Linked DNA regions of Arabidopsis thaliana. The protein of the gene in region 1 interacts with the protein of each later gene in a pairwise test. Each region holds a gene or a part of one and is shown on either strand. Other genes may lie near its edges. The genes, in order: SWEET1 and AT1G25510.

Region 1 (4,404 bases):
TTCACCACATGCCTGACGAGAGTGTCACAACAGTAAACCAGCGGGACGAGCTACTTCACATGGTCAAAAGCTTAAACCCAAAGCTTGTCACGGTCGTTGAACAAGACGTGAACACAAACACTTCACCGTTCTTTCCCAGATTCATAGAGGCTTACGAATACTACTCAGCAGTTTTCGAGTCTCTAGACATGACACTTCCAAGAGAAAGCCAAGAGAGGATGAATGTAGAAAGACAGTGTCTCGCTAGAGACATAGTCAACATTGTTGCTTGCGAAGGAGAAGAACGGATAGAGAGATACGAGGCTGCGGGAAAATGGAGAGCAAGGATGATGATGGCTGGATTCAATCCAAAACCAATGAGTGCTAAAGTAACCAACAATATACAAAACCTGATAAAGCAACAATATTGCAATAAGTACAAGCTTAAAGAAGAAATGGGTGAGCTCCATTTTTGCTGGGAGGAGAAAAGCTTAATCGTTGCTTCAGCTTGGAGGTAAGATAAGTGACAAGAGCATATAGTCTTTATGTTTCATAAAACATAATTATGTTTTTACTGTAATCTTGGGTTATTGTGTAACTGGTTAAATCATCTCCATGTATTATTACCAGAGGTTAGGGGTGATCACAGGTACTAAAAGCTAATCTAACACTTATGGAAGAATTTTTCTTTCTTTTTTTTCCCTATTATATAAAAATAATTAGAGTTTTGGTTCTAAACCTATTTGCTAAGTGTGAATGAGTCTTTACATGTTCATATTTCAGTTCAAATGGTTAAATTTGTTAAGGTTCTCACTTACTATTAGGCTTATCAGTTTTAACTCTTAAACTCAAAAGCTCATTAGATCCATAAAACTCACAAAAGGCATCGTCATTCTTCATCAATCACTAGTGTATCAGTACGAAACTAGGAAACGTTACATTTTTCAGCATCATTTTTTTTACATTCCAACGAAACGAAAAGGAAAACTCTAGTTAAGCAGAGTTAATACGAAATCACATAACCAAATCATCCTCAAAAGCTCTTTTAAACTTGAAGGTCTTGCTTTCCATTAACCACATTCTGCTTCTTCTCATCATCTTTCATCTCCACTGACTTCTCATCTTTCTGAGCATCTGCAGATTTCTCTCCTTTGTTTCCACAGTAGATGAAGTATAGTATCAATTGCAGTGTCCCTAATGCACATCCAAACCCATTTGGGATCTTCGCAACAACAAAAACCCAAAGTTAGAAACAAAGTTTTGATATTTACCAAAGAAAACAACACAAGAAGGAGAAATTGTAACTTACTGCAACAAAAGGGTCACGACCGATTAGACCATAGACGAACCACGAAGTACCACAGAGGAAGACAAAGAGTGACAAAAAGAATGGCATAAACTCTACACTCTTCGTCTTTACCACCAATCTCTGTAAATCAATGAACCAAACACAAAATTTAACAAAATGAATCCAAAAGTAAAGAGTAGAACTTTAAAAAGATCCAATCCTGAGTTTGCTTACCATGATGGAGAGTGGAGAAGCGTACATGATGATGGAGAAAACAGTAGCTGCGAGACCACAAAAGAGTTTTCTACCGTTTCCTTGAAGAGCAAAGAGAGAGACGAGAGCTACTGTTGCGAATACAGCCAAAACGCAAGAGAAGATACCAAAGATCTTAATTTTCTCCTTCTTTGGTGCGTAGAAAAGAAAGATTAACACGTAGACTGTTTCGATCACTGCTCCTGTGCCATTGATTGTGCTCACAAGTGTGTTGTCTTTTGACACAAAGGGAAGTCCATACCTGAAAAAAACAGAGAAACGCAGAAACAGAGGAAGTAAGAAACAGAGCTATACTCTAATGGAAGATTAAAAACGTAAAAGAGGGAATTTTTTTTACCAAGCAGAGAGGAGACAGTTGAGGAGAGTCATTGGATAAGGGATACCAGAGAATTGTTCAGTGGATTTGTTCTTGATGATTCTCTTGAATGTTATCCTAATTTCATTCACGAACAAAAAAGAATCTTGAGTTTTTTTTTTCCAGAACAGAACAACAAGAAATCGAAAGAATCATAAATCGGTTCACTATAGAAGAGAGAAGTGATACGTACGAAGGAGCCAAGAAAAGAAACAGAGCAGTTGCATTTCCTGTAAAAAGTAGAAAAACGACAAAAACGGATTAGTAGTACTCTCAGTGATTTCTCATGGAAGAAAGACGAAGAAGATAGAAAGACAGAGAGAGAGGTTGAGGAAATGAGTTGCTACCGAAAACGCCGAAGATAGTGTGAGCGATGTTCATCTTTTGATCTCAAAGGTGGCTAAAGATTCTTCTTTTTTTCTTGTTCGTAAGCTGAGAGAGAAAGTGAGAGAATATGAGCTAAGTGTTTTCTATCGGCAAGCGTATATATATCGAGATTCAGCGTGTGTTAACCGCTTCACTGTGGAACACCAATAATTACAAAATTAATAAAAGTATAATAAATTATGAAATAATGGTATTAAATATTAAATTTTAAAAATACATGGTTCTGTTATTAATTTTTGTAGTATGAATAAAATTTGAAAAAAAAGTTATGGTTAAGAACTAATGTTTTGAGAAAACCTAAGTTTTAAATTTGAGTTAATTGAGTTATTTCTTATATAAAAAAAAAAAAGTTCCCATGATTTTGAATTCTAGTGTATATATACAGATTTTTTCTTGATACCAAATTAATTTTTGGAACGAGGTTTTTTATCTGTTACTTGTTTTTACGTCCTCGAGAGGTGAACCTGACTCTTTGGATCGACGTTTCTTTTGTAGATAGTTATAGAGATATGGTTAAATACTTAAAAATGAAATAAACACCTAAAAAGAGCAATGTCTTTTCTTCTTTTGTTTTTTGTTTGATACTAAAAGTAGCTCTGAACAAGCCAGAGTGTTCTGGGCTTGACGTTGATATGTGACTCGAGGCCCGAGCCTGTATTTTCTGCGGGGCAGTGGCTAGTGGTTCATCTTCTCCATGATGTGTTACTTTTTTTTTTTCGTTGCCCTCTTTAATAGAGATTCTAGATAAAATTTGACAGTTTAGGAAGTTTCTGGTTACATAAGCGAAACCAAACCTAACAAACTGTCAAGTTTATTTAAGGGCACCAATAAGTTTCACTAAATTTCAGTTATTCTATACCGTTGAACCACAGCCGCAGGATATACTTTTTAGTATAGTGAGTGATCTTTTTGGAATGTTTTCTAGTCACCACGAGTTAGCTTATTCAGCTTTACCCAAACCATATCGGTTCATTCATGATCATTTTAACCGGAGTAAAACCAACAAAAAGAACATTAGGTTATGATTGTGAGGCTAAGGTTAATGGATCAACGTCGGTAGATGAGTTGATTATTGAAGATGACCAAATTTGTTGAATTTTTTTTTTTTGTAGGAAAAAATCATGAAATTGGCTGTTCTCGCGTACGTGTTCATTATATATTTTTAATACGTCTAGTTCAAGAAAACAATTTAGCTATGTACGCAGTATTTAGCTAAAATTCAAGAACCTATCATAAGTCCACTGCAAATCTAATTTAGTTTATGATACCGTATTTCATCAAATGGCAGATTTTTATCAACCCATTTTTTCTTTTTTGTCGTTGGCTACATCAATATTTGTTGAGATTTTGATATTTACCTAGAACAATGTGATCTAATTACTATATGAAGGCAAAACCAAAATTTAGCACAGTAACATGATTACTAGACTGCTAGATGATTCAGTCTGCATACTTTTATGCTCTCTCATCTTTTGTGAGTTGAAAACACCTTTTAACTTGTTATCCACAATAGTCTTACTTTTAAATCCGAATCTAAAATGCAGAAGCTTGAAAATCTTTGGATGTGGACGAACAAATGCCATTATATATTAAGCTTTCACTAGGTAGGCACAAATTATCTGATAATTGTAATAAATTATCACCAAAAACAAAGAAAATCGAGGATTGAGGTTTGGTTTGAGTCCGACGTCAATGATTGAAAGCAAAAGAGTACTGAACTAGAGAGAAAAGGAAAAGACTATCAGAAGAGTGAAATGATGATGACGTTGGTATCAGCAAGCACCACATGGCATGGCACAACTCTTCACACGAGTCACGTAGCTCTTTCCTTTTCCAGACATATTCGACCTTCCTTGTCCAAGTTGTCCTCTCTTTCAAATTTGTTTTTTTAATAAGAAATTGGACCACTATTGTGTACTTTTTGGTTAGAAGGATCGTTAATATCGAAAAAATCAGAATGAATGGAACAAGCGGAATAAATAATTAACATTTTCTCGTTTTATTAAATTTTAGTGTATTCATTCATTTTCGATTTTATTTTGTAGGTGATCACACATCAATATTTAAATAAGAGTTTGCCTAATACATATATACAAGTGACCTAACGATTATGTAACTCTAG
Region 2 (4,915 bases), 1.4 Mb from region 1:
TATATAATTATGTATTCTTCTTCTTTTTTTTGCTTGGACGTTGTTTAATGTACGTATGAATTGTATACCTCATTATTCAGATATTTAAAAGAACCGGTCAAAATCATCTATTGAATCTACGACTCTTTGTTTTTTCTGTCAACAAATATACCACTATTTTAATTGTGAAAATATTAACAAAAACATTGAATTTTATCCAGGTTTTTTGCTCTTATGGCATAAGTTTTATGTCTAGCATGAAACTGTAAAAGTAAGAGAATGTTTTTGGATGAACAAAGGAGAAAGTAAAAGGTTGACATATAAAAAGGAGAAAGGAAAATAAAGCTTTTTTTTAAGGACAAAATGATTGAACCCATAGCTGCCACTTCATATGTTGTGATGGCAAGTAGTGGCACCATGACTTCGCCACCTCTCTTTGTGCCATGTTTTTTTCTTTCTCTTTTGATAATATAAATCTCTGTGCCATGTTACTCTTTTAAAAAATACTGTTTACATAGAATGATTAGAGTTCATTAAACATATCCAATAGAATATCACCAGAGTTAATTTAGTTTTGTGTAAATTCATCTTCCATAAACATATCACTTTTTTCTTTGTTTCATATCAGTTAGTACTAGGGATTACACTTTCATGATCATAACTCATATAAGAGATTGTATTTTCAATCATTCGTTTCTTGGTTTACAAAGATTTTGTTATTTTGTATCACATCACATATTGTATTTGGGCTTAACTTCTTCGATCACACATTGTATTTGGGCTTTAACTCTCAACACTACGAGTATTCATGCGTCATAGAAAAGAAGGAGTCATTCATTCGTGTGTGATGTGACCTGTAACAAGGCCCCTCAAGATTCATTGTTCTACTCTTTAATCATAAAATTAGCAAAAACAAATTCCATCTTTTTTTTACTCTTTTTCACTCTATGCATTGCAACAACAAGTACAAGAAACAAACACAACCAAACAGTAGTACAGTACTCTAACTTAACATTACTATCTTTTAAGTGACTTTTCCTTTTCATTGTAACTCAAATATATTTATAGAAAAAACAGCTTAGCATTTTTGTTTTTTTTGATGAAAACAGCTTAGCATTTATTAGACGAGAATCCAATGAGAGAATTTGCCAAATCGAAAGTGACACGTGTCCCTTGTTGCTGCACGTTTCCGATAATCGCTAGTGAACTCGCCGTCGGTGCAAATGCCAAACAAAATGTCCCCACCGAGTCAACCGGAATCATGTAGTTCTTCGCCGGCAAAGCCAACATCTTCCCGCCGGGGAAATGAAAAGCCACGGTCGGGACTTCTACCGTCGTCTTAGCCGAAAGGTTATAACACGTGTCAAACATCGCCACCCCGGCTGCTTTTTCCAAGTCCAACGTTCCTTTCACGAACGAGTCTCTAAGCGAGTTATAGATTTCGGTCTGGAGACGAGTCACGGCGGTTCCTGAGTCGATGATGATCCCACCGCTGCCTGACTCGTCCATCTCGAAAGAAGACTGAGGAATCTGAAGCAACTCGCCGCCGACGCTTATTCCGGTGAGGCCTAGGTAGTAAAACGTGTCGAGCTGGTGGTTACGTAGCAACGGAGCCACGACGGCGTCAGGAGAAAGAGAAGTCCCGAAATCCACGGTCGAAGCCGAGTCTGAGTCACGGTCAACGAGACAGTACGAGAACGACGTCGTGTTGAGCTGCGACGGAAGAGCTAACAAACCACCGCCGAGTCCAAGTAAACCGGCGGCGCCGACGAACAACCCTTCGTTGCTGTGTCCACAACCAACGGCGACGTTTTGAACTAGAGTTGAGCCGATTGTGAGAGTCTCGGTGGCGAAATCTCCAACGGTGTAAGAACCATCACCGTAAGAAACCTCGTAAAGACACGTGGCGTTTCTACATTCTGAGACTTCAAGGGCATTGCACTGTGGAGTGTCACAAGAGAGAGGCTCGTAAGAAGAAGACGACGATGGCTCGAAGATTGGTTCGGTTTGGTGGTAACAGTCAGCGCAAGGAGTACATTGTAGCCAGTTCACGTCACTTCCAGTATCTAGAACCATATAAACTTCACGCGCCGGTTTTCCGATACCGACGCGTGTGAAGTACTCGCCACTTCCTTGAGTCGTGCCGGAGATTAAAGGAGCTTCGATATCTTGTTCCTCAGTGGTGTACATTGTGCTGATGGGTTTGAGATCTGCTTTGGATATGTTGTTGATGGCTAGATCTAAACGGGTTATGAGAGATTTGACTCGGGCTGTGTCACGGTTGAGTCTGGCTAGTGTGAGTGACTTATAGTCTGAGTGTTCAGTTCCTCGGACGGAAACTCGTGAATGAAGCTGCAAGCTGAAAGAAGAAGAAGCAGAGTGAGTCTGTTCTTCTTGCTGGTTTAACCGAAACGACGACGTATACTTGGTTCTGTGGATGGAGTCAGCGACATTGAGAATTGAGGTAGTGGTTGTGGAGGTCTCTGGTAAGATTCTGGAGAAAACAGAAGAGTGTGAAGTGAGGAAGAAGATGAAGAAGAAGAAGGAGTAGTTAGGAGACATTTTTTAGATTCCGACCGTTAACAGTGAAGAAGATGAAGTGAATGAGGTTTATTAAAGAGAAGACAAAAGTGTGTTTGGTGGGGAAGGGAAAATGAGACAAAAGCTTCTTTTAATTAAAACAAAGACAAGCTGTGTTTTGGGGGTTTGCAGATTTCGAGGAGATTTATATAAGTAAGTATCTCTTCTTGAAGAATTAATCCAAAGATTAGATAAATGGTTAAAGAGGAAGAGGAGGTTTCTTCATCCTCTTTAAGTGTGAGGATTTAAATAAACTTGTTTTATGATCTCAATGCGGTTAGTGTGGAGATTGTTGTTTTAGATTTTATTAAGTCAGCCACTTTTGAGTGTTTCACATCTTCGCACTTTGACAAATTTTATTTGGCTATGAGCTTAGCTTTGTTAATGATGACTTTCATTCAAATTATAACAGCTCACTTATTTCATTTTATCCAGACCTATGTCTATAAAGCTATATGATACTAAACAATTAACCTAAAAAGAAAGCTATAACTGTAAACCAATACATACATACGCAATCTGACAACAACAAAAAAACATACATATGCATATCATGTTAAGGTATTAACAATGTGGAGGAATTTGCTGACTTAAAAATGGTGAATTTATGGTCCCTCATGGGCCTGTGGGTAACTCTTATCTAGGCTTTTAACTTGGATGTTTGGGCCATTTCATACCCCAAGTCTACTACATTAACTCATTAACCTTGCTGCCTAAATCTAAACTATAAATTCTAAAATACACTTCTAATCTCAGCTTAACATGATATGCAGTTGAGATAGATAGAATATTGCCACCTGATTTTAGTTATTCATCAATTTTAGAATTAAATAAATTAATATTAATATAAGTACAGTTGGATCAAATCAAATATAATTACATACGTTTGCGAATCAATTCGCCACCAATCAGAAATCGGTCAATTTTTTTTTATTTGTATAAAATAGTAGGATAAAACGAAATAAAATTTAGTTGAGATAAGCGAAAAATACTAAAATACCCAATCAGTTTTGAGCATCTCTCAAAAACTTACGTGTTATACTATTCTAAACGTTACGTCTCAATCGTGATCGCGACAAGTTAGTTATCAAAGAAGTAAAAGTCTTTATTGTTTTGCTCGAGCAAGTGACGCAAGTCGCAAACAACAACACAAGGGAACAAATTAACATCTTCTAAACTCAAGTTGGGTTTTCTGGGTCCCACACATTAAAATCGTTGGTTGTTATCAATCCACGTGGTAAGATCTTAAGGGTTAAAGAATCAGAATCAAATTCACCTACAATCCCCAAAAAAAAAGGATTCATCTTTTAGCTCTTCAGCGAATGTTCGTCTCGTCTATTTGCTCTCTCTCGACGACTGTTAATTAACTCCGGCGATTGATCACTCCGTCTTCTTTGTAACACAGCCGGAGAAAAATCGAAAGTTTCGTTTTTTTCTTCTCCTTCGTAGCTAATTCGCCGTCGATTTTATAATTCGGCAGCCATGAGCTCGGTTTTGCAGGTAGAGTAAAAGATTAATGTTTTCTGGGGAGTAAACTCGTAAGAATCGTTGTGGAGCTAATCTGGGTTTATGATTGTTGGGGTTTTATAGGGTTTTACGAAGTCACTTGCTATGACCTTTGTATCGGAGATTGGTGACAAGACGTTTTTCGCTGCAGCAGTAAGTGTTTCGTCTCCTCTTCGCTTTAGTTTTAGATTTTGTTGCTTCATGTAATCTATTGAGGGTTTAAGGTCGATGAAGTCAATGGCTTTTACATGAATCGAAGTCTAAAGTCTTACTTATTGGATTGCCTTTTCCTGATTAAGAATCTAGATGGCATCTTTGGATCCTTTGTCTGTAGCTTTTATATTGCCATTCAGTTTCATAGTGTTTTGGTAGTTTAGAATCTGCCACAGGCTCTTTGAAGGTGTGTAAGATACTTCTGTTGTTATCTTGATTTTGCAAGCTTAAACTCTTTTTTTTTTTTGTCATATCAGATTTTGGCTATGCGTTATCCTAGGAGACTTGTGTTGGCTGGTTGTTTATCGGCTCTGATTGTAAGTTTTTCTGAATGCTTTGACCTATTGGTTTCAGTGACCTCTCTCCATAGATTTTGAAGCTTATGTCTTTGTTTAATTCTTAGGTTATGACTATCCTCTCTGCTACTCTTGGATGGGCTGCTCCTAATCTGGTATGGCTTCAACTTATTTTGTATTTCTACATAAGCCTTTTTTTCTTACTAAATAGTAAATACTGATTCAAACCCTCACCTTCAGATCTCTCGCAAATGGACTCATCACATAACAACATTGTTGTTCTTTGGTTTTGGGCTATGGTCTTTGTGGGACGGTTTCAAAGAAGGAGGAGGGTAATACTT

What was found.
Region 2: the proteins of SWEET1 (region 1) and AT1G25510 interact in a protein complementation assay, tested with the Arabidopsis thaliana proteins (one large-scale study listed by BioGRID).

Annotation. Positions count from the first base shown.
Region 1 is NC_003070.9:7,511,006-7,515,409, forward strand, and holds SWEET1 (Nodulin MtN3 family protein), read right to left. Parts: upstream 2,477-4,404; 5' UTR 2,277-2,476; coding exon 2,243-2,276; intron 2,126-2,242; coding exon 2,089-2,125; intron 1,974-2,088; coding exon 1,878-1,973; intron 1,782-1,877; coding exon 1,502-1,781; intron 1,409-1,501; coding exon 1,289-1,408; coding exon of another isoform or gene 1,247-1,288; exon of another isoform or gene 1,205-1,246; intron 1,202-1,204; coding exon 1,025-1,201; 3' UTR 745-1,024; downstream 1-744. Other genes in the region: SCL1 (SCARECROW-like 1), read left to right, coding at 1-497. UniProt on the Arabidopsis thaliana protein: Mediates both low-affinity uptake and efflux of sugar across the plasma membrane. Can transport glucose, and, to a lower extent, mannose, fructose and galactose.
Region 2 is NC_003070.9:8,958,283-8,963,197, forward strand, and holds AT1G25510 (Eukaryotic aspartyl protease family protein), read right to left. Parts: upstream 2,902-4,915; 5' UTR 2,542-2,901; coding exon 1,090-2,541; 3' UTR 805-1,089; downstream 1-804. Other genes in the region: AT1G25520 (Uncharacterized protein family (UPF0016)), read left to right, coding at 4,042-4,059, 4,150-4,218, 4,536-4,595, 4,682-4,729, 4,815-4,906.